6 linked regions of the Oryzias latipes genome follow. The protein of the gene in region 1 purifies or fractionates together with the protein of each later gene. This does not show direct contact. Links are inferred from orthologs where the notes say so. Each region holds a gene or a part of one and is shown in the gene's direction. Other genes may lie near its edges. The genes, in order: lsm4, mepce, sart3, prmt5, wdr77 and patl1.

The links.
Region 2: the proteins of lsm4 (region 1) and mepce purify together in Homo sapiens (affinity purification with mass spectrometry; 3 studies listed by BioGRID and IntAct, with this or other methods). This does not show direct contact. The link is inferred for Oryzias latipes from reciprocal best matches to the Homo sapiens genes LSM4 and MEPCE.
Region 3: the proteins of lsm4 (region 1) and sart3 purify together in Homo sapiens (affinity purification with mass spectrometry; 4 studies listed by BioGRID and IntAct, counting the BioPlex papers as one, with this or other methods). This does not show direct contact. The link is inferred for Oryzias latipes from reciprocal best matches to the Homo sapiens genes LSM4 and SART3.
Region 4: the proteins of lsm4 (region 1) and prmt5 purify together in Homo sapiens (co-immunoprecipitation; 3 studies listed by BioGRID and IntAct, with this or other methods). This does not show direct contact. The link is inferred for Oryzias latipes from reciprocal best matches to the Homo sapiens genes LSM4 and PRMT5.
Region 5: the proteins of lsm4 (region 1) and wdr77 purify together in Homo sapiens (affinity purification with mass spectrometry; 3 studies listed by BioGRID and IntAct, with this or other methods). This does not show direct contact. The link is inferred for Oryzias latipes from reciprocal best matches to the Homo sapiens genes LSM4 and WDR77.
Region 6: the proteins of lsm4 (region 1) and patl1 purify together in Homo sapiens (co-immunoprecipitation; 4 studies listed by BioGRID and IntAct, with this or other methods). This does not show direct contact. The link is inferred for Oryzias latipes from reciprocal best matches to the Homo sapiens genes LSM4 and PATL1.

The regions. Positions count from the first base shown.
Region 1 is NC_019862.2:13,833,374-13,838,778, reverse strand, and holds lsm4 (U6 snRNA-associated Sm-like protein LSm4), read left to right. Parts: upstream 1-1,478; 5' UTR 1,479-1,598; coding exon 1,599-1,601; intron 1,602-2,027; coding exon 2,028-2,069; intron 2,070-2,309; coding exon 2,310-2,408; intron 2,409-4,100; coding exon 4,101-4,281; intron 4,282-4,469; coding exon 4,470-4,579; 3' UTR 4,580-5,196; downstream 5,197-5,405. UniProt on the Homo sapiens protein: Plays a role in pre-mRNA splicing as component of the U4/U6-U5 tri-snRNP complex that is involved in spliceosome assembly, and as component of the precatalytic spliceosome (spliceosome B complex).
Region 2 is NC_019872.2:14,592,267-14,597,560, reverse strand, and holds the start of mepce (7SK snRNA methylphosphate capping enzyme), read left to right. Parts: upstream 1-1,964; 5' UTR 1,965-2,439; intron 2,440-4,190; 5' UTR 4,191-4,237; coding exon 4,238-5,294. UniProt on the Homo sapiens protein: S-adenosyl-L-methionine-dependent methyltransferase that adds a methylphosphate cap at the 5'-end of 7SK snRNA (7SK RNA), leading to stabilize it.
Region 3 is NC_019867.2:12,883,037-12,886,504, reverse strand, and holds part of sart3 (squamous cell carcinoma antigen recognized by T-cells 3), read left to right. Parts: coding exon 1-71; intron 72-159; coding exon 160-315; intron 316-499; coding exon 500-638; intron 639-1,504; coding exon 1,505-1,612; intron 1,613-1,680; coding exon 1,681-1,758; intron 1,759-1,852; coding exon 1,853-1,911; intron 1,912-2,164; coding exon 2,165-2,274; intron 2,275-2,352; coding exon 2,353-2,465; intron 2,466-2,647; coding exon 2,648-2,724; intron 2,725-2,813; coding exon 2,814-2,976; intron 2,977-3,056; coding exon 3,057-3,468. UniProt on the Homo sapiens protein: U6 snRNP-binding protein that functions as a recycling factor of the splicing machinery. Promotes the initial reassembly of U4 and U6 snRNPs following their ejection from the spliceosome during its maturation.
Region 4 is NC_019875.2:17,818,500-17,823,652, reverse strand, and holds the start of prmt5 (protein arginine N-methyltransferase 5), read left to right. Parts: upstream 1-1,530; 5' UTR 1,531-1,539; coding exon 1,540-1,637; intron 1,638-1,939; coding exon 1,940-2,058; intron 2,059-4,672; coding exon 4,673-4,758; intron 4,759-4,885; coding exon 4,886-5,020; intron 5,021-5,089; coding exon 5,090-5,153. Other genes in the region: proteasome subunit beta type-11, read right to left, coding at 1-885. UniProt on the Homo sapiens protein: Arginine methyltransferase that can both catalyze the formation of omega-N monomethylarginine (MMA) and symmetrical dimethylarginine (sDMA), with a preference for the formation of MMA.
Region 5 is NC_019863.2:2,526,061-2,531,224, reverse strand, and holds the start of wdr77 (methylosome protein 50), read left to right. Parts: upstream 1-2,061; 5' UTR 2,062-2,369; coding exon 2,370-2,478; intron 2,479-2,656; coding exon 2,657-2,842; intron 2,843-3,723; coding exon 3,724-3,862; intron 3,863-4,926; coding exon 4,927-4,976; intron 4,977-5,121; coding exon 5,122-5,164. UniProt on the Homo sapiens protein: Non-catalytic component of the methylosome complex, composed of PRMT5, WDR77 and CLNS1A, which modifies specific arginines to dimethylarginines in several spliceosomal Sm proteins and histones.
Region 6 is NC_019859.2:1,012,448-1,016,536, reverse strand, and holds part of patl1 (protein PAT1 homolog 1), read left to right. Parts: intron 1-390; coding exon 391-496; intron 497-947; coding exon 948-1,130; intron 1,131-1,199; coding exon 1,200-1,370; intron 1,371-1,485; coding exon 1,486-1,556; intron 1,557-1,633; coding exon 1,634-1,714; intron 1,715-1,787; coding exon 1,788-1,988; intron 1,989-2,064; coding exon 2,065-2,166; intron 2,167-2,241; coding exon 2,242-2,319; intron 2,320-2,553; coding exon 2,554-2,753; intron 2,754-2,829; coding exon 2,830-2,974; intron 2,975-3,201; coding exon 3,202-3,322; intron 3,323-3,391; coding exon 3,392-3,489; intron 3,490-3,559; coding exon 3,560-3,619; intron 3,620-3,687; coding exon 3,688-3,833; intron 3,834-3,898; coding exon 3,899-4,058; intron 4,059-4,089. UniProt on the Homo sapiens protein: RNA-binding protein involved in deadenylation-dependent decapping of mRNAs, leading to the degradation of mRNAs. Acts as a scaffold protein that connects deadenylation and decapping machinery.

The DNA.
Region 1 (5,405 bases):
GAAACAGATCCTCTTAAACAGCCGGAGACCCTCACAGCTGACGACTCCTTCTCCCACAATCAAAAGAAACCTGCCGTTCTCTCTCATCCTGCACGCTGCGTCAAACCCAACGTAATGACGCCATCAACGGAATGACGGCTACGGTGGCTGAGAAATGTCAACTTAGGGAAAAAACAAAAAGAAAAAATAAATAAATAAAAACTACACAAATATCCTATTTTAATACAACCAATTGTCTTGCCTGTGTTTTATCATAAAATAAGACTTTAATTAAGTACCAAGCTATAAATTAGTTGTTGCAAAAATTGCACCAGCAAAAATATGAACGTGTTGGTCAAATTATATAAGGATTCACGTAATTCAATTACATGAATCCATTTGGTAATGAAAAAAATTATTATTTTTTAAACCACTGTCACATTTATTTAGACTTTACCAAAACCAGACAGACCTTAATCATAAAATAGAATAGAACAGAATAGAATAGAATAGACTTATTTTATTGTCACTGTGTCACATGTACACGCAACAAAATTCCAGCTTTTCCTTTTTTATAATACAAGGAGTTGTGGCAGTGATCTATTCAATATTATTCTTCTCTTTCTTCTCTATTATCCTCATTTTATCATCATTATTTTTTTTAATTTTATTCTGTACTAATTTAAGGAATAAAAATGCATTTCACTGAAAATGAAGAAAAAATTACTGTATTATGTTTAGTCTAGACACTCATACCTAATGCGAACTAATCAGCAATGGTACAATCTGAAATTTGAGACACAGGATTTTGCTATAAGATATTATTAAGCGGTTTTATGCTTTGAAGGAAATGTTTGTGTATAGATAGATAGATAGATAGATAGATAGATAGATAGATAGATAGATAGATAGATAGATAGATAGATAGATAGATAGATAGATAGATAGATAGATAGATAGATAGATAGATAGATAGATAGATAGATAGATAGATAGATAGATAGATAGATGGATGGATGGATGGATGGATGGATGGATGGATGGATGGATGGATGGATGGATGGATGGATGGATGGATAGATAGATGGATGGATAGATAGATAGATAGATAGATAGATAGATAGATAGATAGATAGATAGATAGATAGATAGATAGATAGATAGATAGATAGATAGATAGATAGATAGATAGATAGATAGATAGATAGATAGATAGATAGATAGATAGATAGATAGATAGATAGATAGATAGATAGATAGATAGATAGATAGATAGATAGATAGATAGATAGATAGATAGATAGATAGATAGATAGATAGATAGATAGATGTTACACTTGGTCCTCTGTATTTATTTTTGAATTTCGTCACAGTAAAAGAACAAAAGAAAATGCTCCTGTGTTTGATAGATAGATGTTACACTTGGTCCTCTGTATTTATTTTTGAATTTCGTCACAGTAAAAGAACAAAAGAAAATGCTCCTGTGTTTGCGCATGTTTTGCGCTAGGGGGCAGTCATGTTTTAATAAGACGTGGCACCGAGTACGTAGAAAACGAAGAAGAGTCTGCGAGTAAAAATCGTGTTGCTAATCTAAGGCAGCACAAACATAACCTACCAGAATGGTAAGTTATTACTTACAAATGGACTATTTTGTAAAAATCACACACTATATAAAAATACTGACCTGTTCTTTGGCTTCAAAAATCCCATGTAACTGGTTTAAACATCGCAAATCAAGGCTAAGCTACGCTAGCAACCAATGCTAAATTGTTTTCTGCTTGTGGAACGCTGACTATACAAGTGGTTCTTTTTAAAATTATTTTCTATATAAATATATAAGGGGGGGGGGTCACCATTTCAGATACACGTTTAGTACTAAACTAAACACAAACGAATCATTATAGTTCGGAACAGAGCTTAAGTTTCTCCGCCGACACAGAAATACATTCAGACGTGTTCTTCATTTCTGAATCAATATTCCTTTTAGAATGCATTATTTTAATATATCATAGAGATCATAAATCGGACCCATTTCTACTATTTCGCAGCTTCCCTTGTCCCTTTTGAAGACGGCCCAGAACCATCCTATGGTAAGAAATAATTGCTTTTCTTTCCTCCTTCTATTCCTTATCTGGTGATTACTGGTTAAACCATTTTATTCAGTTACTTGTGGTTTTAAGATCAGGTTTTTTGTTTTGTTATTGAGATTGTTTGCATGTTTTTCTTTAAACAATAATTTTTGTGCATTTCTTTTTGAATAAAGAAAGAACCTTTTAGAAAACCATAATCACCAGCTGACCTTTTTTTCAATGAACTTTGATTTTTTTCAGCTGGTTGAACTGAAGAATGGAGAAACCTACAACGGTCATCTGGTTAGCTGTGACAACTGGATGAACATCAACTTGAGAGAAGTCATCTGCACATCCAGGGTAACAGATTTGCTCTCATGTTCTCAGTGGAGAACGATCCATAAACTGCACACCTTAAATAAAAAAAATTAGCTTAAATTTAACAGTCGCTTACCTGTTTCCTTCAGTTTTCATTCTGACTACCTTAGCCGTTTAAAGACCCACCCCAATTAAAATAGTGTATTTGTTTGGTTTGGTTTTTAACATGTTTTGTGGCATTTTTCTCATAATGACGGACATATATAAAGAAAGTTTGTAGGCAATTAGATCCATTTACGTCTTGGTTTTCCTCGTCTGAGCTGGCATCTGGCTTTAAACTGTACGTCTGTATAGCTTCAACATTCCCCACCAATTTTCTTGCACTTGGTGTTAGATTGGGGGTATGAGGGTGTGTAAGCTAGCAGGAGAGTGGAAACAAAGGGACCTTGGAAAATGCGGCAGGCTTTTTTAGGTATATTTCTAATGAACTTCTGTCACTCTGCAGAAACTGTCCTAGAAAACAAGACAAGTTTTTCATTTTGGCTTAAAGCTGCATAATGAAAAAAAACAAAATCAAAATACTGGGAATAGATCAAAAGATAATTGAAGTGAGCCTTTAAAATATAAAGACTAATGTATAATGAAGCAATGGTTTTAGTAAAACATCCTTTGATACATGTTGGAACAAAAACCTCAACGCTAATTTTTTTTGTTAGAAGAAAAAGGACTGATTATTGTTAAAGGCCCTGTACCATGCTATTCCTAAACCATTCATGGTAAAGAATATCCATATATATATTACCTTTGGCCCACAAAAGAAAGATTTTTTAAATTAAATATTAGTTACGTGGCGCAGTGGTTAGCGCAAGATCCCCCAGCCAAGTTTTGGGGACTTGGTTGCTGTTGGTCCCCCAGCCAACTGCAAGCCCAGCCAGGTCCAAGACTTGGCTGGGGGACCTGAAAAAGAACCTGTCTGTGTGGAGTTTGCATGTTCTCCCCGTGCATACGTGGGTTTTCTCCGGGGACTCCCACCTTCGTAGGTTAATTGGTTACCTTAAATTGTCCATAAGTGTGAATGCAAGTGTGCATGGGTGAGTGATTTGTGGACCTGTGACAGACTGGTGTCCTGTCCAGGAAGCCCCCTGCCTTCACCCATGAGTAGCTGGGATAGGCCCCGGCAGCCCAGTGACCCCAAAAGGGACAAAGCGGGTTTAGAAGATGAATTAAAAAATGATGAATGAATATTAGTTATTTTCCTGAGTTATTTTCCAACCTGGAAGCAAGACGACTGGATCTGAGGCACCGGCACTTCCATGATGTCAACCTATAGCCAGCATCAACAACATGTCTGTGTCTCGCCCACGAAACAAACAACATTCAAACTTTCGTAAAGATGAATGTGCATATTGAGCATGTAAAGAGAGTTTTGCCAAACACCACTAGCTTCATGGAGTGTGTGTTTTAGCCTGGGGGCGGGGCTGGCAGCGCAGACTCTTCCTGGAAGGGGCTGTTCTCACTTATCTACATCAGCTCGTGAGAACCCGCTTGTTTTTGTGGGTTAGGTGTGGCTGGTTCCTGGAGCACAGGTTTTTAGAGGAATTCTCAGAAATGCGTGAATGGGTCAATACTGGTTTGAGGTTTCTTTATAATACACCGGGAAGTTCAAAAAAGGGATTTAGCATAGACCCTTTGAAGTATACTGGTTACACTCATCGTTTGGTCTTTTTCCCACAGGATGGTGATAAGTTTTGGAGGATGCCAGAGTGCTACATCAGGGGAAGTACCATCAAGTATCTGCGAATTCCAGATGAGATTATTGACATGGTGAAGGATGAGGTGGTTTCTAAGGGTCGTGGACGTGGAGGTGCCCAGCAGAATAAGCAGCAGGGTAAAGGAAGAGGCGGAGCCGGCCGAGGTGAGAGGAAGCAACTTCTGCATTTGTTCTGTCATGATTTGCCTTAATGAGACTTAGATCAGCTTAAAATAAGTAAAAAATCCCTCTGTTAAAGCTTTTAAACACATCTGGTGAAACATCATCTTTATTTGTTTAGGAATTTATTATTCTAACTTGCTGAATTTGACATTTTTTGTGTCTGTATGTAGGTGTGTTTGGCAGCCGCGGCAGAGGGATGTCAGGTCCTGGTCGAGGCCAGCAGCCACAGCAGCCGGATAAAAAACCAAGCAAACAGCAGGGAATGAAGAACCAGCACTGATGTGATGTCATGGATCTTTCACATCACATTAACTGTTATTTTTGTTTCAGTACTTGTGGATAATTTAACTCTCAGCTCCTTTTTTTGCTGATATGTGATATGTAAGAGAACCAATCGCTGCAAAAGGTCACTGAGATGTTCAAAAGAGGCAGTGGTTTTGCACTGAGTTTTCTTTTTAGGTTTTTAAGAATAACCATGTTTGTGTAAAACCCAAGAGCTGATACTTTTTCTTTTTTTCTTTTCTTTCAAGAAGAATATTTTGTCATGAAAACCCCTTTTTAGTCACAAAAGTAATCTGTTGGTACAATTGGAAGTGTCAAATTGTTTATATTTGGATGTCTTTTTCTTTAGGGGTAGATTTCATGATAGACAATATTCCAGCCCCAGAATTCTCTTCATTTCTATTCTAGTTGTTGAGTGACATGGTTGGTGTGGGTTTGTTTCTGTCTTTCACTCCTCATTAGCCAATCTAAGCTGATAGTCAGCTGACATCCAGTCACAGATAAGTGACACGATTTGACCATAAGAATTTTTGTTTGAAAAACTCTTTATTTTTATAGTGATGAATATTATTGTAATGACATGAGAAACAATAAAGCAGTTTTTGTTAAAGACCATGTATGTATAAAATAGTCTTCATTTTTAGGGAACTGCCCCAAAAGTTTGTTACACCTGAAACTTTTTGTTTAAAGATCAGTTTGAAGAAATGAAGCACTGAAATTGTTATAGTAAAATTACTATTTGATTGCAGAGTGTAAAGACCTCTGTTCCTGTTTAGCATGTCCTGTATCCTATTTAAAGCATCAACACAAGTTCAGGCTCATGA
Region 2 (5,294 bases), on another chromosome or scaffold:
GAATATTACTGGAGGATTTTACTCTGGATAAGAATTTACTTATGAACTTGAAATGTTCGATTGACCACATGCACATAAGCAGTTTTCCCTCTGGAGGGCATGCAAACATTGTGCTGGTGCCTGTCACAATTACAGTAACTCAACATATACATCCAAAGTTAAGTGATATTTTATTTTACAAATCAAAATCGAGTCTGTTTACTTACAACGATGAAAGGGAAAACTAATATAGCCTTAAAAAACGCGTAAAAATTAAATTCTGAAAGAACATCCAGTGTTAAACGCAGGATAAAACTGTTTAGAAAAATGGTAAAAAAAAAAGATTTGATCGCCCCCTTGTGGCCATTCAGAAAACAGATGTAAAAGGTCACTGAAGCAACATCAAGGTGTCCATGATGGCAGTCATATCTCACACTAACACCCAAATAGACTTAAATACCAGAAATACTTCATAATTGTGTTGGAAATATGAAGTATGTAGAAGAAAACAACCCTAAAGCTTATGTGTACAACTGTAGTTGTACACTTTCATTTGACCTACAACAATAAAAATACATAACATGTAGAGTACAAAAAAACATGCTACTGCAAGAAAGAATAGTTTATTGTAGTCATTGATTTTTTTTCTTTCATTTACCTGTTACTGTACCTTCCATATATTTTGCCAATTTGTTTTTAAAAAAATAACTATTTTGATTTTACCCTCAACGTAATAAAGGCTGTAAGACAGAAAATCACATGGCTTGATCTATAAACAGTTGAGAGTGATGATTTTCAATCAAAATACAGGGAGAGCTTTGTGTAGCAAATGCAAAAAAAAGGGTTTGGAAGAAAAAAAAACAAGTTATTCAAAGCAAATATTTAATGTTTTCATTTGCTACTTAGAAAGTTGTGCTTGTGTTAGCATGAATATCACTTCATGCGTGGTAAAATGAAAAATTAATTGTGGTCATTTAATTTAGAAATAGCTGTTACATCAGCTAAATGTCAAATTTGAGACACTTTTTAAAAATGTGTTAAAATGTCTTTTGGCTTCAAACTAAGCATTTCAGGCTGCTAACTGTAATGAATTTGCTTGAAAGTGTTGAAATTTGCTGCCGTAAAAGAAAGCTGTTATAAATCAAGAAATAGCCCTTTACAAAAAGAAAACAAATGTAATATAAAATGATGAGAAAGTTCATAACTCCTAAATTCACTTTATTTTCCCAAGTTAGATAGTTACAAATATTACAGGAAACTATTGTACTTTCACAGCTTTGTATCAGACAGCATCTCACAACTGTTTGGCCAATTTCTTATAAGCAGCGATCATGCATTAATGTAAAAGGTTACATCAATCTGAAATTCTGCTAAGAATCTTCCTTTCAAGAAAATCCAAAGTAAAGTTGTGAGCAGGTTACTGAGGAGGCCACTTGTGGATCTGTTCCATGACTTAGAATTAAGCAAAGGTTATTCATTTGACTGCTGCTGCAAAAGATTAAACAAATCTAAACACACACTGTTGAGGTGTTTGACAGTCAGTATTATTTTATACTCTCGTTCAATTACAGATCTGAAATTAAATCTATTACTATTAGAAATTTTGCTTTTTCCAAACTTTTAAGCACTTTATCACATTATTTCACTTAAAGGACGGACAGACAGACAGACAGAAGATAATTAATGGTATTGCTATAATTTTTTTCTCTTGACAATAAGATTTATTTTATGCTTTAAAAAGTGCTACTAATATACTGAAGATGAGAGATTACTGTTAAAATGATGGATGAAGGATGAGGTGGTGGGAGGGTGGTCAGGGCCGCAGAATTGCTCAATGTGGACCTACTTTGTGTTGTTGGGCATCTGTGCCTTTATAGTCCCGTTTTTAGACCAAAACAATGGCCAAGTTTGTTCATTAAAATGTGTTTGCTGACTGTCATTAAAAGTTCCACTCGCTCGCGGCCTCTTCTGGGATTAGGGGTCTGAATCTAATGGCAAAGAGTTCCCACTACCTTGCGCGAGCTCACAGATCTCCGCCCCGGTCACGTTAAGCTTACAACTCGAAGCCCGGATGCGCCGCCATGCCGACTCTCGTCAGCGAATGCTGTCATTTATTCACCAAACTGTCCGCCTGGAGTTGACCGAACAAGTCGACAAGGCAGTGGGGGAAACAAGAGAGACCTAGTGGGGTACAGGCCGTGCTTTGCGTGTAAACCGTGAGCGCCGTTGGGCTCGGAGACACTGGGGTGCTAGCTAGGCTAACGTTAGCTTGAGTGGAAGCAGAGCGGGGTGGAGACGGCCCGGCCGGAGGCGGGGAGAGCACCACCGCGGGGTGACACTGGGATCCTGACGGTGACCACACTGTTCGGCGGCCATCTGGGACATAGTATCACTTTCCCGTACCGGACTTGGGATTTGTTTGTTTATTTTTGTTCTGGATTCACCCGTCAGCGCATGAAGGTGGGTACTTGGTCGTTTATTTATCACCACTGTTGCTCCAGAGCTAAACGTTTAGGCGACGTTTTCAGAGCTCTGGCCCACGATGGAGGAGCTAAGGGCTAGCATGCTAACCCAAACTACTGTTCCAGACTCTGACTCAGAAACTTCTCAGGTCAGCAACCTCCGAGTGGACACGCTTCAGATGTCAGCCTGTCAGGAGGGCAATGCTAACGAAAAATCTGCCGCGGACCGTAGGACCTTTAAAATTAATATAATAAAATGCAACACTCAGCTAAAAACAAAGTAATTTATTTACTATTAAGAAAATTATATGTTTTATATATTCAATATGCCCGGATTCTCCTTTATGATTTTATTTGCTGTTCGTTTTGTCCATCTTATTACTTTCCTGACTTAATTATGGAGGCCAGAATCTGCACACTGACTCCCCAGATGACTTTTAATGCATGCAACCATAAAGAACAGATTGAAGTTTCCTTAAAACAATGTCGATGAATCTCAAATCAATTCTTTTTTTTTTTATCAATCATAGATAATGCAGTTTGCATGATTTTAAAATAAGGCTAAAACCGAAAACACTGAAAATCCAAATATTTTGTTTGGATTTTTTTGCAAATGACATCATCATGACAATATCCTACAGTTTTATAAAACCACTTTCTGAGAACTTCAAACTTTAGTTTTGGTAACATCCAAATCTATTTTTTTAATGTAAAGCTGATAATGAATTATGAAGTTGCAGAAATGTTTATCCAGGAAGTTGTAGATATACAAATATAGGATTGTCATCTTTTTTTTTTTTTTTTTTAAAAGTTAACTCTTCAATTGAAAACAACAACAAAAGCATTAACCTTTCTTTTAGGCTCTAAACAGTAGGAATAGTGGAAGAACAAACATGTTTCTTCTACACAGGCACAAAAACAATAGCAACAACAATAGCAACGTCACATCTTAAAGGTGTATTTTTGGTTTTGGAGAATATGATGACCTTCTGTCCCTTCTCTGTTAGTTTAAGTTTGAATGTAGTTTTGTTAGGAAGTGCATGAGGAATATTTGTGCCTTCTAATCAGGTGGCACAAATGCTATAAACCTTATGTATCTCTGATAAGGTAGAGCAGCAGAGACGGGTGGAACCTCCCTCTATATGCTACCATGAACCAAGCAGGAACAGTGTGGTTAAAAAAGAAAGATGTTTTGTCTGTACTAGCATTTTTGACCAAAGCATGTTGCAGATGACATCCCAAATTATGATTTTACTTATTTAAAGTCTATTTTAAAAAGTGTTCTCAGTGGTCTTTTAATTAAAATTTTGTCGTTTTTAGTCCAAAAAAAAACAACCTATATCATTATCTAGGATGAATAAATTTGTTGCTTGTCGTTGTAGGTTTCACATCACAGCTTCAAGCTTTTTCCAATGGCATTTTTCATCTGCCCCTGATTTGGAACAACTGGAATAAAGGAACACTCAGAAACAAAATTTTTAGCTATATTGTCTTTATACTTGTCCTCCATTGTTAGAAAAACGCCACAAAAACTTTCATCAGATTAGGTATTTAAAGTTTTTGTTGGCAAAAACATCAATTATCATTGTCTTTTTTTTTTGCATTCTTTGTAATGCAATTAAACAAAAATCTACCTATCGGTTGTTTTGGCACTTTTTTGGAACTTAATTTAATGTTTACGGTGTTTTATTCAAGGGATTATAAGAGATCAGATGGTCCTTTAACAGCTGTATTCTTCCTTGTTTTCAGACAAAGGACAAACAAGTTTCAATGAACAGTTCTGGAAACTAACAGAGATGTCTGTCGAGGAGGACGCCATAAAAACTGGCAGTTTAGAGGCCAGGTCAACGCCATCTCTGCAGCTCTCAGACTGTACTGGAGGTTACAGCAGTGTGTCCGTGATGATGGAGGAAAATGCAGCCACGCATGACTTTGCAGCTGCCTGTCCTGTCCCGGGCACTGCAGCCTCACCAAAGCACACGAGCACAGACAGCGCGGGACAAAAAGCCAGAGGGAGCGAGAACAGCATCAATCGCAGGAACAGCTTCCCTCACTCCAAACAACAGCAACAGCAAACGAAATTAACCAAGCGGCGCTACACAGCCAGTTCTAACTTCAAACATCCCACATCGAGCAAGAGGAGACGAAGAGCCATCTCCGAGAGTGACTCTGTCCTGCCCACCAACTTTCTCTTGGGTGGCAACATTTTTGACCCGCTTAATCTGAACAGCCTCCTGGATGAGGAGGTCAACAGGGCACTTAACGCAGAGACACCAAAATCCTCTCCACTTCCTGCAAAGAGTCGAGATCCAGTGGAGATCCTCATTCCGAGAGATATAACTGATCCTCTGAACCTGAACAGCGGGATAGCAGACAACTGCTTTTTGGTGTCCCCCTACAAGAGCGGAGGAAGAAGAAGGCATCGCAACAGACATCATGGTGGGGGTGGTGGAGGAGGCGGAGTTGGTAGTGGGATTCCAATAACGCAGGCGAACCACTCCGAATCGACAAAAAGTGAGGTCAAAATGAGCTCCTCCACACAACTTTTAGGTACGCAAGGCTCTTGTTCGGTTCTCGATTCTTCTAAAGAGTCCATGAGTTTCTCTAGTGTCACGGCAGATTCCCACGAGAGCACAGCTGAGAACGCAGCAAGCGGCAAAGATGAGACGCTGTTTGTACCTGTCGAAGAATATACCTGCCCCCTGTCGGGGGGGCCAAGCCACCACGCCGGAAGACGCAGACGAAGGCGCAACTCAGGCAAAATTGATCCTCCTGTCACCCATTCTACTCCCAGCGGTAAATTAGCACCAAATGACAAAAGTTGTGGTACAGGCGGAGCACAAAATTATTTTC
Region 3 (3,468 bases), on another chromosome or scaffold:
AGGCCGTCGCGCATCAGTACAAAAAAGCGTTGCAGCAGATGGAGAAGTGCAAACCCCTTGAAGAGGCTCTGGTAGCTGACCTGCACACATTTGGTTTTGAATCTGTCTTGAGCGACTTTTTTCTAGTTGTTAACATCTTCTTGCATCCGTCTGCTGCAGCTGGTGGCCGAACCTCCTAAACTGGCTGAATATCAGGCCTACATTGACTTTGAATTGAAGGTGGGGGACCCAGCACGGATCCAGATTACCTTTGAAAGAGCTCTGGCAGAGAACTGCTTGGTTCCAGACATGTGGTCTAAATGCACCAAGTATCTTGTGAGTATTGATTATTGTTCAGTCTATAAAGAATGAAATTTTTGCTATGTATTTGTTTTAGTTCAGCTGCCTGTTTCTGTTTATTTAGCATTTTAGTAAATTGGCCAATTAAGAAAGAAAAATGAAAACATAATTAAAAAAAAAGTGTTGCTTAGATTTTTGTCTTTTATTTTTGATCTTTTAGGATCGCCAGCTGAAGGTTAAAGACTTGGTTCTGTCCACTCATGAGCGGGCTGTTAGGAACTGCCCCTGGACCATGAGTCTGTGGAAGAGCTACCTGCTGGCTTTAGAGAGGCATGGAGCAGACCATCACACTGTGTCAGGTACCAGTTTGATTACCTGTGACATTTACCACATGTGTGATGACTAACTTTTAATTCCTTATTAAAATGGTTTTAAACAGTGGAGGAGAAAAAAGTTGTTAAAGAAAATGTTTTTTTCCTTGAAATTTTCATTTAGGGAGAAAAATCGAATGAATTAATTCGAATTTTTTGTTACGGGTGATTTAAAAAATAACTAAATTGAGTTTTTTTGCAACGGTGCATTTTTGGCTCCCCGGAGCTTCTGTAGCGTTAATTCACACGGCAGTATGACAAGCGACAAACAACAACATCATAGCACCACGAAACAGCAAGCGGCAACATGGCTACCGGTGAGAGTGGGAAGTTTGTTCCCAAGAAAGGAATAAAATCATCTGTTGTTTGGAACTGGTATGGGTTTGCTGCCACAGACGTGGAGGAAGAGACCCCCCCCCATGCTGCAACACTTGCCTAAAGCCCATCGCAGTCAAAGGCAGCAGCACCACAATCCTATTCCAACACCTGGAACAGAGACATCCAGCGGAATATGAAAAAGGCCAGTCTCTCTGAGGCGAACAAAACCGCGGTGACCAAAAAAACAGCTAACTGTAGCCGAAAATCGGAAATCAAATCAAATCTGAGATTTTATTTTTAGGCCTTATAGCCCAGCCCTAGTCAAAATAAAAGAATATTTGGTTACTTGCTAAAGTTAACAAATAGTAATTTTTTTTCTATTATTTCTATATACATATTAGAAAAAAAGCTGTAAATGTTTAATTCTTTACAAAGATGCTGAGTTATTAAAGTTGAGGAAGCACGTGTGTGTTAATGGGGACAGTTAGTTTATTTGTGTGTTTGAGTTTCATTTTCTTCTTTTGTCTTTTGTTCAGATGTTTTTGAGAAAGCACTGAATGCAGGCTTCATTCAAGCAACAGACTATGTGGAAATCTGGCAGGTGTACCTGGACTACCTGAGGAGGCGCGTGGATTTCAGTAAAGGTGAGAGCTGCTGTGTTCGTCACATTTGGTAAAATAAGAAATTGGAATCATTTAAACTCTTTCTTTAGAATCAAGCAAAGAATTGGAGGAGTTACGAGAGGCCTTCTCTAGATGCTTAGACTACATGAAACAAGATGTTGAAGAAAGTAAGTAAATCTATTGTTTATTTACTTTATTTTGTCAGTTGAAGTTCTCATTTAGCTTTTTTCATCACTAACTTATATTTCGGTGTAAATTCAGGATTTGGGGAAAGTGGAGACCCTTCCTGTGTCGTCATGCAGATTTGGGCAAGGATAGAGGTAACTGGTGCTACTGCTTAAACCAGATTCAAGTGTGAAATCTTAAATTATATTATATTGGTGGTAAAAATAAAATAGGACTCAAGTCTTAACCAAGAGAATTCTATAAAACAATTTAAGATAAATTAAGTGAAAGCTGAGAATTTGGTTGTTGAAAAATGAAGCAGGAAGTTTTGATTGGAATATTTGAACAGTATCTTTCAAATTTTGGGATTTTAATTTGGCATTAAATTCTTTTTCTGTTCCTCACCAGGCCCTCCACTGCAAGAACATGCAAAAAGCCCGAGAGCTGTGGGATAACATCATGACTAAGGGGAACTCCAAATATGCCAACATGTGGTTGGAATACTACAATCTTGAAAGGTTTGTTTGGTAATCCCCCAAATCCAGAGAGAAAAACACTTTGCAGCAGTGACAAGAAGCTTTCTCTGAAAACCATAGATCTTATGGGGACTCTGTTCACTGCCGGAAAGCTCTCCACAGAGCAGTTCAGTGCACCACCGACTATCCGGAACACGTCTGTGACGTCCTGCTCACCTTTGAAAGGGTAGAAGGTGAGTCTCATGGTAACACAATTTTACACCTCCAATCTCATGTCAGCATTATATAATCAACTCTGTTGCTTTATTAAGTTAAATACAGTTAGTGGTATATGAGATGAACTATCTAACAGATAAACTAAAGATCTCATAGCTGTTAGAGATTGAGTTATTAATTATATAAAGGTTCCATCCAGGTTCATTGGAGGACTGGGACACAGCGGTGCAGAAAACTGAGTCCAGGATGAACCGGATTAATGAGCAACGAGCCAAGGTAGGAAGGTGTTGATGTGTGTTGGACAGGATGGTAGCATCGCATGGAGCTAATGTTAGCATATCCGGATCATAACCTCCAAAAATCAGGCTGCTGAGAAAGAAGCCAACCAGGCTCGCCAAGAGGAGGAACGAGTTGAGCAGCGTCGGAAGGTCAAGGCAGAAAAGAAGGGTCTGAAAAAGGATCAGAGGGGAGCTGGTGAGAAGAGAAAAGCAGAACAAGAGGATCAGGATGAATGGAACAAAGACTCGGGTAAAGGTTATTTTAAGGAAAAATAACTTAATGTTTTGACAATGTTGTCACAAAGTTTCTCTTTTCCATGATGTTGTAAGGGCCTAAAAGGCGCAGAGGGAATGTAGACGGCACTACAGACGAGTACATGGAGACGGAGACCGGGCTCTTTGGAAGGAACGCTCCCAGAACTAAACCTTCAGCCGGCCTGAAGAAAGTCCCGCCTGGACACGGGGACGCTGCGGAGAAGCAGATCGACGACAAGTCTGAGCTCCGAGACGACTGCTGCAGCGTGTTCATCAGTAACCTGGCATTCACGCTGCAGGAGCCAGAGGCAACGCTCAAAGCGCTGTTTGAGAGCTGCGGTTCCATCGCCCAGGTTCGCCCCATCTTCGGCCACAGAGGAGTCTTCAGAGGATACTGCTACGTACAGTTTGAATCTCCAGCATCCGTTACTGAAGCTTTGAAGCTGGACAGACGGGAGGTGGAGGGGAGGCCCATGTTTGTTTCACC
Region 4 (5,153 bases), on another chromosome or scaffold:
ATGGAAAAGGTCCACATTGTTTCCCGAGTAAGCATCCCTGTGAGTGGCCCTGAATACCGCTTCTCTTGCCAACAAGATTGCTTCTTCTTTATTCAAACTCCAACTCAGACTCCTATCCAAGACTCCGTAGGCATAAGGTGAACCTGATCCCACAGAGAAGATGTCTCCCTGCAGTCTGGCTCCATCGCTGCACACGTAAATAAGCTTTGGGCCACTAAAGCACAGCAGATTTGTTTTTGAAGGAACGTCTTTACAAACAGATGGCGAGCAATCGTCAGTCACACCTAAGGTTTCTTCCAAGTTCTTGGTACTTTCCGCCTTATCCCAGCCACACAGGGTGAGAGCCACACATACATCAGTGCCTTTAAAAGGGTGCAGCATTAATGAAAGGAGTTTGGCAGTCCCACGTATTGAGAGGCGACGCTTGTGCCGCAGTTGATAGAGTCTGATTTCTCTAGTGAGGATGCGCTCCCACAGCATGCAGTCTGCACCGCTGCCCGAGGAGGTGACCACCAAATGGGAGTGAATAGGGGTTATCTTGTGAACAGCTGGACAAGCCACAAGTCCCCCAGCACTGGCACGTGTGTCTGCAGCTGCAATCACCCCACCTTGGAAGATAAAACCCAGAGTTGTCGTTCCATGCGAAAGAGGAAAAGGCCTGCGCACCGACACTGAATGGCTCGCTCGGCTGGAAGGCCTCTTGAACAAAGATGGTACATGAAACTCCAGTGGAACATCAGAGGCTTTTTTAGATGTCATCTCCCCTCTCCATTTAAAGTTTAAAGATTCAGTAAAAACAGAGACACTTGTATCTTCCGAAGCATAAAAAGGAAAAGTCTTATGCGTGGGCTTGTCTTTAAAATTGCAAATATCTTCCAAAGCCATAAATATTGAGTAAGATGCTCAATTCTGACCTTAAAATTATTAGTCTTCCTTTCAATTATAAAGTAAGATCGATTATTTCTCTACACAGATTGAAAAGCTTGCATGGAATTTAAAAAAATATGCTAAATCGACCTAAACACAGCCGGGGCAGGGCAGGGATCACAACCTTGTGCCTGTTGATCTTCTCAGCATTGGGTGCATTTACCCCTTTTATACCTCCTGCAGCTGTGACAGCTTGCATAAAGCTGCCACCTGCCCAGACAGAGTTGGAGTCACTGAAAGTGATCCTGTAACCTGTAGCTGTTAATTTGATCTGCTGCGAAGCCGTTTTCTGCTAATCATACATCTTTTAAATGTGCTCTGATGATGCTTGTAAATATTTCACCCCATTAGCTTTTAATCTTCTTTTATTTTTATTTTATTTTTTTAAATATCTACCATCAATTTATTACTGTTAACATGTTTTTTTCATTTAATTTCTTCCATAACGAGTCTCGCGATATTTTGTTTAATGCAACTAACGTCCTGGCGGCGCCATTTTGGTTCTTTCATGCGTAACTATGCATTCAGAACGATGATCTTCGTGGATCCAAGATGGCACCAGTTTCCTTAAGCCTCAGAAAGAAGAGTCTTCTCAATCAGTCGACAGAAGTCATGGCGTCCGCCAGTACAGGCAGCAGGGTGTCCTGCGGGAGAGATATGAACTGTGTTCCGGAGATAGCTGCCACGTTAGCCGCGGTCGCGAAACTTGGGTGAAGTTGGCATTTTTGTGTCTTATAAAAAAAGTGTTTGGATCAAATGAGGAAAACTAGCGTGCTTGCTTGTTAGCATGACTAAGGCTAAGCTAGCCGGCAAGGTATCAACACGTGCAGAATGAAAGGATGCTCTGCTTTTGGATTCAAGTGTTAAACTAAAGTGTTCCTTTGGTTTTGTTATTGGCATATCTCGTTTTTTTTAATTTAACACGTATATAAGACGCGTTTGTTTCTCCTTTGTATAGTATCGTAACCGCATTGTTCATACTAGTGTTTTCCCTTATGATCTGTGTGTGCAGGTTCGATTTCCTTTGCATGCCTTTATTCCATCCGAGATTCGCAAGGGAGTTTGAGTTGGAGCCAGCTAAATCTCGGCCCGGTGCACAGACCCGCTCCGATCTGCTGCTGTGTGGAAGAGGTAAGTGTTTTTAATAAGTCATCTACATCTCAGGGTGTTACTTATGAACAACGTGTGTTCAGAACAAGGCCCGTTTCCATTGTCACGTGTGTGGGCTGGGTGGGTATATGAACAATCTCTGAGATCATTTTAAATATTAAAGAGTTTAAAATAAAAACTAAAAAAAGTCAGGAATGTAGTTTTGTGGTTTGCAGCAGTTATGGTCTCCAACCCTGGTCCTAAAGACCTTCATGATCCCCACTTTGCAGCTGATTACCTGGACCAGGTGATGTTAGAATGTCCCCTCTCCAGCTAATCAGTAGCTAGGATATGTCTGGGAAAGCTAACAGGGTGGTCGTGGTAAACCTTAATGACCAGAGATCATGGAGACCTTTGTAATTCCAGGTTAACAGAAATGTTAGGTGTAAAAGCAAAGCTGCACATTAAATTATTAATGTGCAGCTTTGTAAATTTACAAGGAAAGATGGAGATAAAAAAACAAACAAGTCACTATACTCGCTTGTAATTAAGACAGGGTTAAAATATGTTAAGCAATGTGTAATTTGGCCATGTGTATTATGTGTGGCCAACATGAATTTCCATCAGTTTTTGTGCTCGATCACACCTAAATACGTGCGAATGACATCGGCCTATACAAAAAAAGTGTTGCAGTCTGTTTTGAAGCCACAAGTTAATTAAACGCAGGAGCCATTTGGCTTCAAGCTAGAGGTGAAACATGCCCAAAAGAGAGAAATAAAGATTGGGACAACTGTCACTCAAAGGTGGAGGAATCTTTTTCTTTAAAATAACAAGAATGTGTGTCACATCTATCATCTTAGAAATTGTAAAAGTTTAAAAACTTTAAAGTCCCACTCTGATCATCTTTTTTTAGCTATTGTAAAAGCGTTCCCAGTGGTCTTTTAATTATGACAATGCCGTTTTTAGCCAGAATAATTATCGCTTTCTAGGATGTAGTTTCTGCATTGCAGCAGTAGTTCATTAGAAATTTGTCTCTGAATTGCGGGTAGTACCGTTGGAGTGGAGTGAGGCCGCCCCCACTTCCCGTCACCCTTCTGTTAACACTCTCTCTTGCTAGCTTACATTAAAGCTGCAGTAAAAATGGCGAGCATTATTGGAGCTGTCCAGCCGTACAGTTTTGAACCAGACGCCAGGTCAGACAAGGGAAACAAAGACGTACGTGGATCTGTTTGTCTGCAAGTGGAATCATCAGAATGGAGCAGAGCAGGGAGCTTGTGGCACGCCCATTGTAGCTTCCATGTTACTGCTCCAAGCTTTTTCTAACTGCTTTTTTTGTGGGATCCTGATTCACAACAATTTGAATAAAGAAATACTCAAAAAAATGCAATTTTAAGTTTAATATTTAAAATATATGTCCTCCATCGTGAGAACATGCTACAAGAACAAGTTAAAAACACGATTTTCATCAGAGTTGTGTTTTAATGTAAGAGTTAAGTTTTCACCAAGAAAAGGATGCGGGCTGACATCACCTCAATTTTTGGGACAACACGTCAATGTAAAGGCCTGTTCACACCGGGACGAATTTCGCCCGCGATTTTCGCCGACGTTTAACGCCTCGTGACTAAACAAAGGGCACCAATGTGAGTGTGCACACCGACGCGAAAAACCGCCACACGTCAAAGCGTCACTTTTTAAAAAACGCCTCGGGTTCGTTTTTTTGGTTTGACGCGCCGCGTCGAAAACTACACGACCAATGAGAATGGCGCTTTTGCACACGTGTCTGGAGCTTCTGAAGTTACAGTAAAACACAACTTGGGGGCGCTCAAACATTAAACTGCCTTTCTGAGCACACATGCCAGCGAAGAAGATAGACGCCAAGTAGCGTCTACACTGCCACAACGAAATAATGACGGACATTTTAAAATATCCCCGAACCAAGCACCAGTTGGAGCAACTGGTGCTTGAAATATTCATGTTTTCTTTGTATTATTCTGACAAGTGCGTAAATACTTGCTCTCTTCTTCTGAGTGAAAAGCGACTTTAAGAAGCGTAAAGTTGCGCAGCGCCACCTTGTGTACAGGAGTATTTCTGTTTACATTAAGCGCCATCTAATGTCAGGGAATGAAATTGCAGGTTCACTCGGCTCATCGTCAGCGAAAATCGCCTGGGTGTGAACACAAAAAACGTGGCGAATAACGCTGGCGAATAACGCCTGGCGAATATTCGTCCCGGTGTGTACGGGCCTTAAGGTTGGGGTCATCTGGACGCCATAGGATATGTGGTGATGCTGGTCCCCGCCTGTGATGCTGCATTTGGCTGGTTATGCAGCTATTCACAGAAAAGGAACGTCCCAAATATTAGCCTCTCCTACTGCTGACATCGCCTATCCCCATCAGGAAGGTGTGAAAGGGGAGGGGGCTCTATTTTAATATTCATGCTTGTTTTTATGTTTTATTTTAATGTAAAGCACTTTGTGTTTTTGTTTTTATAGGAAAAGTGCCATTTAAAAATAAAGCTTGATCGCGATTTGCCTTTCAAAGCAAGGCGGCAACAGTCAAGCATTAAAAAAAAATAAAACACTCAAACGGAAGTGATCTATGTAAATTTTACTGTCTGTTCAACAGAAAATCTGAATACTGATTGATATTTCTTACAGATTGGGGTACTCTCATTGTTGGGAAGCTTTCTCCATGGATCTGTGCAGACTCAGAAATCGAGACCGAGCGCCGGAACTCAGAGGAGGCAAGTTCTTTTCAAGTTTGAACCATTTGAAACGGGTCTTTATTTCCATTCAGGCATCGGCGAACTCTTGTGAGGACTGCCAGCTCTTGTGGGGTTAGGAGGTTTATTTTGTTATAATTTTCCACAGGCTCTGACACAAGAGCTGAACTTCTCAGCATACCTGGGTCTCCCTGTCTTCATGATCCCTCTGACGGGCCCTCACAATGCCAATCTGGCCCGCCTGCTGCTGAGCCACATCCACACGGGACACCACACCTCAAATGTAAGACACGGGATGGCCTTTGCTCCGTAGGTTACCAAAGCGTCACTCAACCGCGTCTTTCTCCTTCAGTTCTGGATACGTGTTCCACTGATGGCGGCAGAAGACACGAGAGAAGACCTGATTGAGAACGAAC
Region 5 (5,164 bases), on another chromosome or scaffold:
GCCGTGTTGTGTCTGGAAGGGTCTGCCTCTGGCTGCGGGCCACGTGAGCCCATCAGCGGGGAGCTAACGAGCGCGAGCGCGGCCGCCGGCGCTGTCAGTCAGTGTGCGCGTGCAGGTGGAGCTAACGTTAGCTACAGTCAATGGTTGGCCTCAAAATTTCTCCCAGTTACAAAAAGACATCACCAATAACGACTGACGATGCCGTTCAGTGACGACAACCGGGGGGAAAACCGTCACTTCATCCGCCTGACACGGCCGAGAGCTTACCGTTTACGGCCACGGTGACAGACCCGCGAGACCCTAAACCGAGAAAAGCCAATCACATATCGATTTCAGACAGAAGAGCACTAGTGTGAAATTATCCCTAATCATCACTTCCGCTCTGCTCTTTCACAATAAAGTCTGGAGGATGAAACCTCGGCTTCTGCGGCTTCGCATCTTTATTACATGGAAATCACACTCAAAAGCTGTTCCATCAAACATCAAATTCAACATTTCTGGTTTGTTTTTAGCTTCAGCAGAACACCATTGCTCATGCAAACTGTGCATCTTTGGGGGATCATCGATTTTCTAAAATAATAAAACACGTTTAGGGGATAACAATAGTCATAGTTGTTTGTTTTCTTTATAAAAACTATAAGATAAAATTTCAATAGAAATTTTAAAATAGAAATAACGTTAGGAATCCCACTAGGTTATGCCTAAATCTTACCAGCACTATTTACAAACGTACAAAAAACTTGTTTTTTATTAAATAGGCTATAATAAATGAAGGTAAATCTGCAAGACATAAAAACTGAACAGAATGAATAAATAAGAATAGTTTAAAATATATACTTACAATTTTTTATGTTGACCATCACATAAAGAAAAAAACAAATATTTGTGCAAAACAGCAGAAATTGATCCTTGTGAGCCACAAGTGATTCTCGTGCTCCTTCTCATATGTAAAAACTTAAAATTTATCAAACAATAATCACAGAGATGCTACGCTCTAGCACATATGTGTATGCGGGCTCACTGTGTCCTAATGAACACAATTAAAAAACTTTGTGTTTTCTTGGTGTACATAGCACAAAGCTACAGCTTACAGCCCTCAATACAATTGACCTGTCATGCTTTACAAATGTATAACTTCTATACCATATAATCCAGATCGTTTTTAAATTTTCTGCATCCTTATGTAATTTCTTTGGGGATTTTTGGGAATGTATAAATGAAAGCTTTGTACATTTGTTTACTGACAATTCCTAAAATTATCCATTTCAGACCCCAGCTGGGTCCTTTTATTTATGCGTTTTACACGAACACGCTTCATGGAATTGTTTTATGACTTAATAGTCCTTTAGGTGTCTGTGTGCATGCCTGTGGGACCCTGCAACAGACTGGTGACCTGTTCAGGGTGTACCTCACCTTTTCCCAACAGTAGCAGGATAGGCTCCAGCAACCTCACGACTGCAAAATGGATTCAGCCGGTTCTGAAGATGGATGGATGGATGGCTGGACTTTGTGTTGAATTTTCCACCATGTCATTGCTGTCCCAACCTCTTTGTTCTGAATGGATGGGCAGTAAATGAATTTCATACTTATTTCTCAGTTAGAAAGACACCTCAATTTTTGCTTCCAGATCATGTTAACATCCCAAAGTACAGGAAACTCAGTCACTGTAAGCTGTTCGAGTCACAGGGGTGGCACAATTAATCGACTTAATCGATTTGCTTTCCTACGATTCAACCAGATTGATCTGTCTGAGGCTAGTTGTTAATCAAATTGACTTATTCAACTACATCTGCTGGAACAAGTACTCAGATAAAACCAAGCAACACATTTTTTTTAAACGTGGATAATTTATTTTAAACAAAACATTTTAAAACCTGGTTAGATCCCGTCACATTTCACACTCACAATAAATCATCATTGCCCACCACCAACCCGCGCCTGTGCCAGACCAAACACACCCACTAATACAGAAAGCTCTCATATTGATTGAAATGAAGCCTTGTAGTTCACCTTCTCTGCCCGCAGGGGGCAGTGCAGACGGGAAACGCACAAGAGGAAAAGAACAATAAACACCAACGAAGAAGTCCTCCAAACGCCTAAGGGACCTTTTCCCCACCGGTCCCACGTGTTTAATGCATTATTATTTCGTTGTCATTCATTCGGGACGCGAAAACGTATCCATTGTTTTCGCTAGAAATGTTATTTTAAGCTCGTATGCGTTTTAGGTGTATATTTCTATTTTGCCTAAACAGAAAATACGAGCTTTTCTTTGGCCGCAGCTAGCTTAGCTAGCGTTAACGGTTGTGTAGCTGATTTGCGGACAACCACATCTGAATTAGTGGGAAACTAGACTAAAGTTTGCTTTTTGGATGAACAGTGCAGTCGACACAAATATGATCAAGGAAAATCGGTGGAATATTCCCCCAAACGCTCCGGCGTGCATGGAGAAGCATCTGTGCGCGGCTCAGTACCGAGCAGGTAGGAAGAGAGAAGGCGCTAACCGTGGGTCACAGGCATAAACCACGTGCTTTTCATTTATGGGACTGGGGGTTTGTTGGTGTCCTGATATATTCAGCTCAGTTCTTTAGTTCGGCTGTAAACTGGTGTGTAACCTTTAGAAACGCTGCTTCCCACGTTCGTGCTGTGTCCTCTGCAGACGGCACGCTGCTCCTGGGCGCCTCCAGCCTCTCGGGCAGGACCTGGCAGGGGTCTGTGTGGATCTACAGGGAGCCTGAGCAGGCCCCCAGTGAGGGCTTCTGCAGGGCTGGCGTGCAGACGGAGGCAGGGATCACTGATGTCAAATGGGTCACTGAGAAGGCCATTGTTGCTGCTTCAGATTCAGGTGCGTCTCAAATGATCCTGACAACTAAAAACTCAATGTTCAATACTTTACAAACATTCTGCTATAACTTAAACTGGCTTTTCCTTCAAATGTAAGAACATATTCATTTGCTGTTTTACATTATTTTAAGTATTTATCCTTTTTCCACATTTTTATCTGTCTTTTTTAACTCATTTTTACTTTATTCTCATCTAATAAGTTTTATTTATCTTCGTATTAATCCCTGATTTTACCTTATATATTTTATTTCTTTAACATTTTGTTGCAAAATTCATGTTTTCCTCAGAGGGATGTTTTAAGTGAAACGTTTTTATTTTTAAATTGAACGCACTTTGTTTTACTGATGTATGACAGGTGCTTTATAAATAAAGTTTAATTTGATTTGAACTGTGGAACAAACATCCCATGGAGCCAGTCGGGCCGCAGGATTATGGCCAAGGGACGGATTTTCTAAGTTCTCAGATTTTTCCAGTAATAATTGCATATTTTATATCGGATTATAGAACTTTATTAACTTAGCCAGAATTCTCCCCAATAATATTATTATTTATTAACATTTAGATGTCATAGTATTTCTTCTCCTTTCTTTCTTTTGGCTTCATTTGTATTTTCCATTTGTTTTTTTTCCTCCAACATTTTTAGTGAATCAGAATAACAGTTCAGTGATTGCATCTACGCCTGTTTGTCCCTTAGCAGCCTCCGTCCTGCATCTTTGTTTAATGGAATCAGGTCTGTCACTGAATTAAATATTAGGCTGTCATCCGTGTGTAAGAAAAATGTACTTCTAAGTGTGTTGGGACAGATTGACATCAGTAGACAGGGATGCAGTGTTCTGTTGGTTGGCAGGATTGTGTTTGGACAGAACTGCTTCTTGTCCTCAGGTGCTCTAGAGCTCTGGGATTTGGCAGAAGATGAGCGGCTGCTGGTTAGTCGCTTCACCAAACACGAGCACGACCACATCGTGACGACCGTGAGCCCCACTGGAGCAACCGGCGCCGTCACCGGCAGCATGGACTGCAGGTCAGACTGCCGTGTCTGTTAGACCGCTGAAACGTTAGTATCCACTCAGAACTCTGAGGGTTTGATGTGATGTCAGTTCACCCCTTACTGCTACAACTACTTCCACTATGGGTTCATATCAGGATCAGCTTAGTGAATGAAAAACCAGATTGTAAATAAATAAAAAAAGATCATTTGAAAAGTTTTAAGCTCAAAAGAACATTAGGATGTGTTCAGACTGGACACTTTTGGTCCGTTTCAAGTGAACCAGAGTTTGTTTCTCTCAATAATCCGGACCAAATTTTCAGTCTGAATCCCCCCAAGTGGACCCTCATCGTCGTACCTTCGTACCATCTTCTTGCCAGTAAGCGTCTTGCAGGATGCCTCCGCCGTACCAAAGGAGCAGTAAAAAGAATTGTTCCTGATGTTAATACAGGCGCCAAAAACGAATGAGCGAAATATAAAGTTTTATTAAGTGAACCATCCCGACAAGGATTGCAAACTGGAGGACTTCCGTAGTTTCTGTCTCTAGTTGCTTTGCCCCGCCCTCGTAATTCCTGGCCTGTGGGTGAAGAGGCGCTTGACGGGAGCCTGAATACAGACCAGATGCAAGGTTCAGGCCTCGATCCATACCAAATGATTTTTCCAGTCTGAATACACACCAACACAATATTGAAACATTACAAATTGTAAAATAGAAGCTTGAATTAAAACAAATCTAGGCTAGTGCTTCTTCACCAGTCTGGTGTTCTTGTCCGTATGAACTTTGCTTTCTGAAGTGCAGTCGTGTTGAAACAGCAGAGATTCATCCTCTAACTCATCAGACTTGTGGGTAAATCGTGGGCCATCAAAAAAAACATTAGATAAAAATATGTTTTAAAAAATCTGTCTGCAAATAATCCTCCTCAGCATTTGACTGACATGCAGAACGGCCAACCGAACATCCTCTGATACATACATCCGCCATCATCCGGGTGTCATGACATCACAATCATTTCACTGACAGCCGACTGGAAGATTTAGGAGCGTGGAAATGTTGTGACTCGGATATTTTTCCTAAAATAAATGAATTCTCTTCAATGCAGGATTAAAGTGTGGGATCTCAGTCAGGAAGCAGCTGTGACCACCTACAACAGTAAGAGAGCCTTCAGTGGCAAAGCACTCCTGTTTATGCTTTTGACCAGGAGTGTAAATGATGATTTTTAAGTCGAGTTGTGTGTTAGAAGTGTATCAACGGTGGTGTTTGCAGAAGGACAAACACTTTCTCTCTCTCCGTCCAGTTCACACTCGGCCCGTCAGCTGTGTGACCTGCAGCCCAACAGA
Region 6 (4,089 bases), on another chromosome or scaffold:
TTTTTTCTGTACCAAATGACCCACGGACCGGTACAGGTCTGCGGCGCGGGGGTGGGGGCCACTGCTTTAGCCGACGTTGAAACCACAGAACTTTAGAACGTACAGAAACGTTCAGGTGTTCCTGCACATGTTCCCCTTCCTCCACATGGAGACCATTTATCTCGTTCCTGTGGATCCATGCGATGGCGCCGTACGTGGTGGCGGCGTCTGCCTTCTTTCAGCTGCTGAGCTCCGCACCTGGGCTCTCGTCTGCGCAGCTGCAGATGCCGTCTGCGACAGCTGAGAGTCGTCGGCATAGAGGTGGAGCTCAGGGATGTTGGTCAGGCGGAGAACCGGAGCATCTGCATCATTCCTCCGTGGAGTTTGACGTCTCGTTTCTTCCTCCTGCAGTCCCTGGATGACGACTGTACGCTGGAGGAGGAAGACGATGGACTGGTAGAGGAGGAAGATGAAATTGATCAGTTCAACGATGACACCTTTGGAGCTGGAGCCATCGGTGAGTCGGACTTCAGGATCTTTGTGTTTTCTTTAAGGTTAGCCTCAGAGATCAATATGATTGATCAGTTACTGATCATGTTTCAAAAGTCCAGGTTGTCAAATGGAAACTAGCTTAAGCCTTTTTTCCTGATAAACCGTTATTGATCCCCGATCAGGACATGGGTTCAGGACTCAGATCCTCAGACGGTCTGAGCGCCGGCTTTACCTCGGTTTCAGCCTCAGCATTCGGAGCGTCCTCCCCCTTTCAGGGGGGAGCTTCTGAATGGGCTCCTCTCTGCTCCCCCCTCTATCACGAGGAGCAGCTGAGGAGGCGTCAGACCTCAGCTGGGAGCCGCAGATTCAGAGGAGTTCAGAGAGGAGGGGGTTTCAGACTGAAGACGGCGCCTGACGTGTCGCCCCGCCCACCTCTGGTTCTTCATCATGTTGTTCTCCTGCTCCTCCTCTTCCAGATGACGACTGGCAGGAGGAGCACAAGCGGCTGGCTGAGCTCGACGAGCGTGACGAACATGGAGCGGCGCAGCCGGAGGAGGCGGAGCCAGGAGGCGCAGAGCCCCCGCCCTCCTCTGCAGACCCTCCCTCCCTCCCGTCCTCCCTGGGCTTCTCCTCGTCTTCTGCTGACCTTCCTCCTCGAGGTCGTGTGGTTGCCCCTCCCTCGCCCCGCAGGCCTTCTGCGTTCTGACGTTCCTCGTTTTCCTCTGCAGATGCGGACGAGCGAGCAGGTGGGGGGGAGCTGGCCGAGTCCGTGGCCCGCCTCATCTTGGAGGCGGATCCCGCCATCGCCGGGGTCGGAGCGGCAGAGAAGCCCCGCCCCTCTCCCAGCCTGCACGGCCTGCAGCAGCCGCGCCCCCCCCAGAAGCCGCCCGGAGTCACAGGTGAGCAGCGTCTGCGCAGATCCTCCCCAGGTGGTTCCCCTGGTTCCACGCCTCCCAAGGTTTTCTTCTTCGCGGAAAAACCTGCTGTGACGTTCAGTTTATGTTTCTGCCACAGCGCCGCCCGCCGCGTCCATGCTCAGCTACCAGCAGCAGCTGTTGCTCCGAGGCCCCGCCCCCACGCCGCAGGTGAGGCGTGTTTTCCTGCGCTCCCTCTCAGCTCGCCGTGTTTTGATCAGCTGTAACGTGTCTTCCTGTGACCTCAGATGAACTCTCACAGCATCTGGGACAGCAGCCTGGGGTTCGGACCGGTCGGCGTCCCGCCCGCCTTGGCCGCACACATGGAGGTGAGGAAAGCCGACGCCCTTTTCTTTTAAATGCGCCTGCAGCGCCTCAAATGGCTGATCTGTGCCCCCCCAGGACAGCCCACTCATGTCCATCATCAAGGAGGTGGGGCTTCCCAAACGACCTCTGCAGGGCAGGACCGAGGAGGGGTGGGACCTCTCCGAGAGGGTCCCGCCCCCACGCTCCTCCTCCCCTGTTATTGGCTCACCTCCTGTGAGGGCGGTGCCAATAGGGACTCCGCCCAAGCAGCCCATGAGCCACGCCCTGAATCATCAGGTGAGCGAAGCGTCAAACATTTCTGAAACCCTGCCCCCCCAAGAAGGGGTCCTGGTGAGCCTCTCTGTGTCCGTAGATCCACCACCCCACGGCGGTTCACGTGCGCGCTCCGCTCCAGCACAGATACCCCCCTCCCTTCCCCGAGCGCTTGTCCCCCAACACCCTCCTCAACATAGCAGTGAGTGCCCCCCGCCCGTCTGTCTGTCTGCGCAGTCACGCTCCCCTCCTTAACCGTCACGTCTTGTGTCTGCAGAACTCCCCGCTGTGCCGCGGCCCGTTCCCCCCCAGAGTCCTGTCCCAGATCCAGAGAGCCCAGCTGCTGAACTCTCAGGTACCGACCGTGCACACGCACATGCACACTCGACACCCCCACGAACAAGTGAGGAGGGGATGGAGTCTCCGGGAGGGTGAGGGTTCAAATCCAGGGTTGGGTCAATTCAATTCAAACACCTCCCTGACAGCCTCAAACCTTCATCACCCCCCCTGACCAGCAGGGGGGGGGCACAAACACAATCCTCCTGTGATGAGGGGGGGGGTTACATTTTAACGTCCTGTTTATTTTCAGGTTGCAGGTTTTCATCGTGGTGGTCCCGGCCCTCCCTTGTTGCCGGGCGGCGGTTTCAGACCGTTTTTTGGGGGCCCTCCTCCTCCACACGGCCACAGAATGGGCCCGCCCCCGCCCATACCCCCCATCCGGCACAACACCACCCACCTGCACCCGCAGCACCGCCGCCTGCTCACTCAGCGGCTGCAGAGCCGCGGGGGGTGAGTCTGCCAGCCCCGCCCCCGCCTGTGACTGCGGGCGTTTGACGGCTCACCTGTGTGTTTGGGGCCCCCATAGGGACCGAGGCAGGACCGCGGGGGACCGGCGCCCCAGAGATCCCTACAGCAACCTGATGAGCCAGAAGGAGAAGGAGTGGGTCACCAAGATCCAGATGATGCAGCTGCAAAGCACCGACCCCTACCTGGACGACTACTACTACCAGGTGAGGCAGCACCGCCCCACTACCACCACCACGGCCCCCGCTGGGGCACCTGGGGGCCTCCCCCGCTTCAGACATGGGAACTTCCTGGAAAACCTGAACCTCTCCCTGCGTGATTACCAAAGTCACCTTCCTGTCTGGCGGGAATCCGATCGTTTTCAGTGTCTGGAGTGATCAGGTGTTCTTAGCCCCGCCCCCTGAAGGTTGACTGGCGGATGTTGGTTCTGCAGAATTACTACGAGAAAATGGAGAAGCGTCAGGAGAAGGAGCAGGACAGCAGCAGCAGGAAGGAGCACGCCACCAAGCTCATCACGCCGCAGGTCGCCAAGGTGGAGCACACCTACAGGCCAGGTGAGCACCCCCAGCCCTTCCCCCCTCCTCAGGCAGCACGCATCCCCCCTGACCCCCCTCTGTCCACAGTTCAGTTTGCAGGCTCTCTGGGGAAGCTGACGGTCTCCAGCGTCAACAACCCCCGAAAGATGATCGACGCCGTGGTGACGAGCCGCTCGGACGATGAGGTTCCCGCTTCATCGATGCCTCCTTCACGGTGGGGGGGTCGGTTTGTGACGCTCTGTCTTTCCCCCGCAGGAGAAGAGGGAGAAGCAGGTGTGGAACAAACGGCGGCAGATCCTGTACACGGTGGAGAAGGTAGTACACGTACGCGTGCACGTCTGCAGGTGAGGCTCTGCTCTGACCCCGCCCCCCCTCGTCTGCAGATGTTCAGCCTGCTGCTGGAGGTCCAGGACTTCGAGAAGCGCTTCGTGCAGACCCCCGAGGAGGAGCGTTCGGCCCTGTTGGAGCAGCACAAGACCAACACGGAGCAGCTGAGCGCCGCCCTGCGGGACAAGGACTGGGAGCACAGGTGTGTGGGGGAGGGGGCGTGGCTGCAGGGTGGGGGCGTGGCTGACACGTTACCCTCTCTTTCAGAGTGAGCGACGACCTGTGCGTGATGATCATGTCGGTGAGGAAAGGCAAGCGCCTCATGGGTAGGCTCCTCCCCTTCCTGCCTGCACCCCAGGCCGCTGCCGTCGTCATGGCGATCGCCCGCAACCTCCCCGTCTTGGCCAAGAAGGACAAGCAGGATCAGGTAACCCCCCCTTCAGATGTGCTCTCAAGAC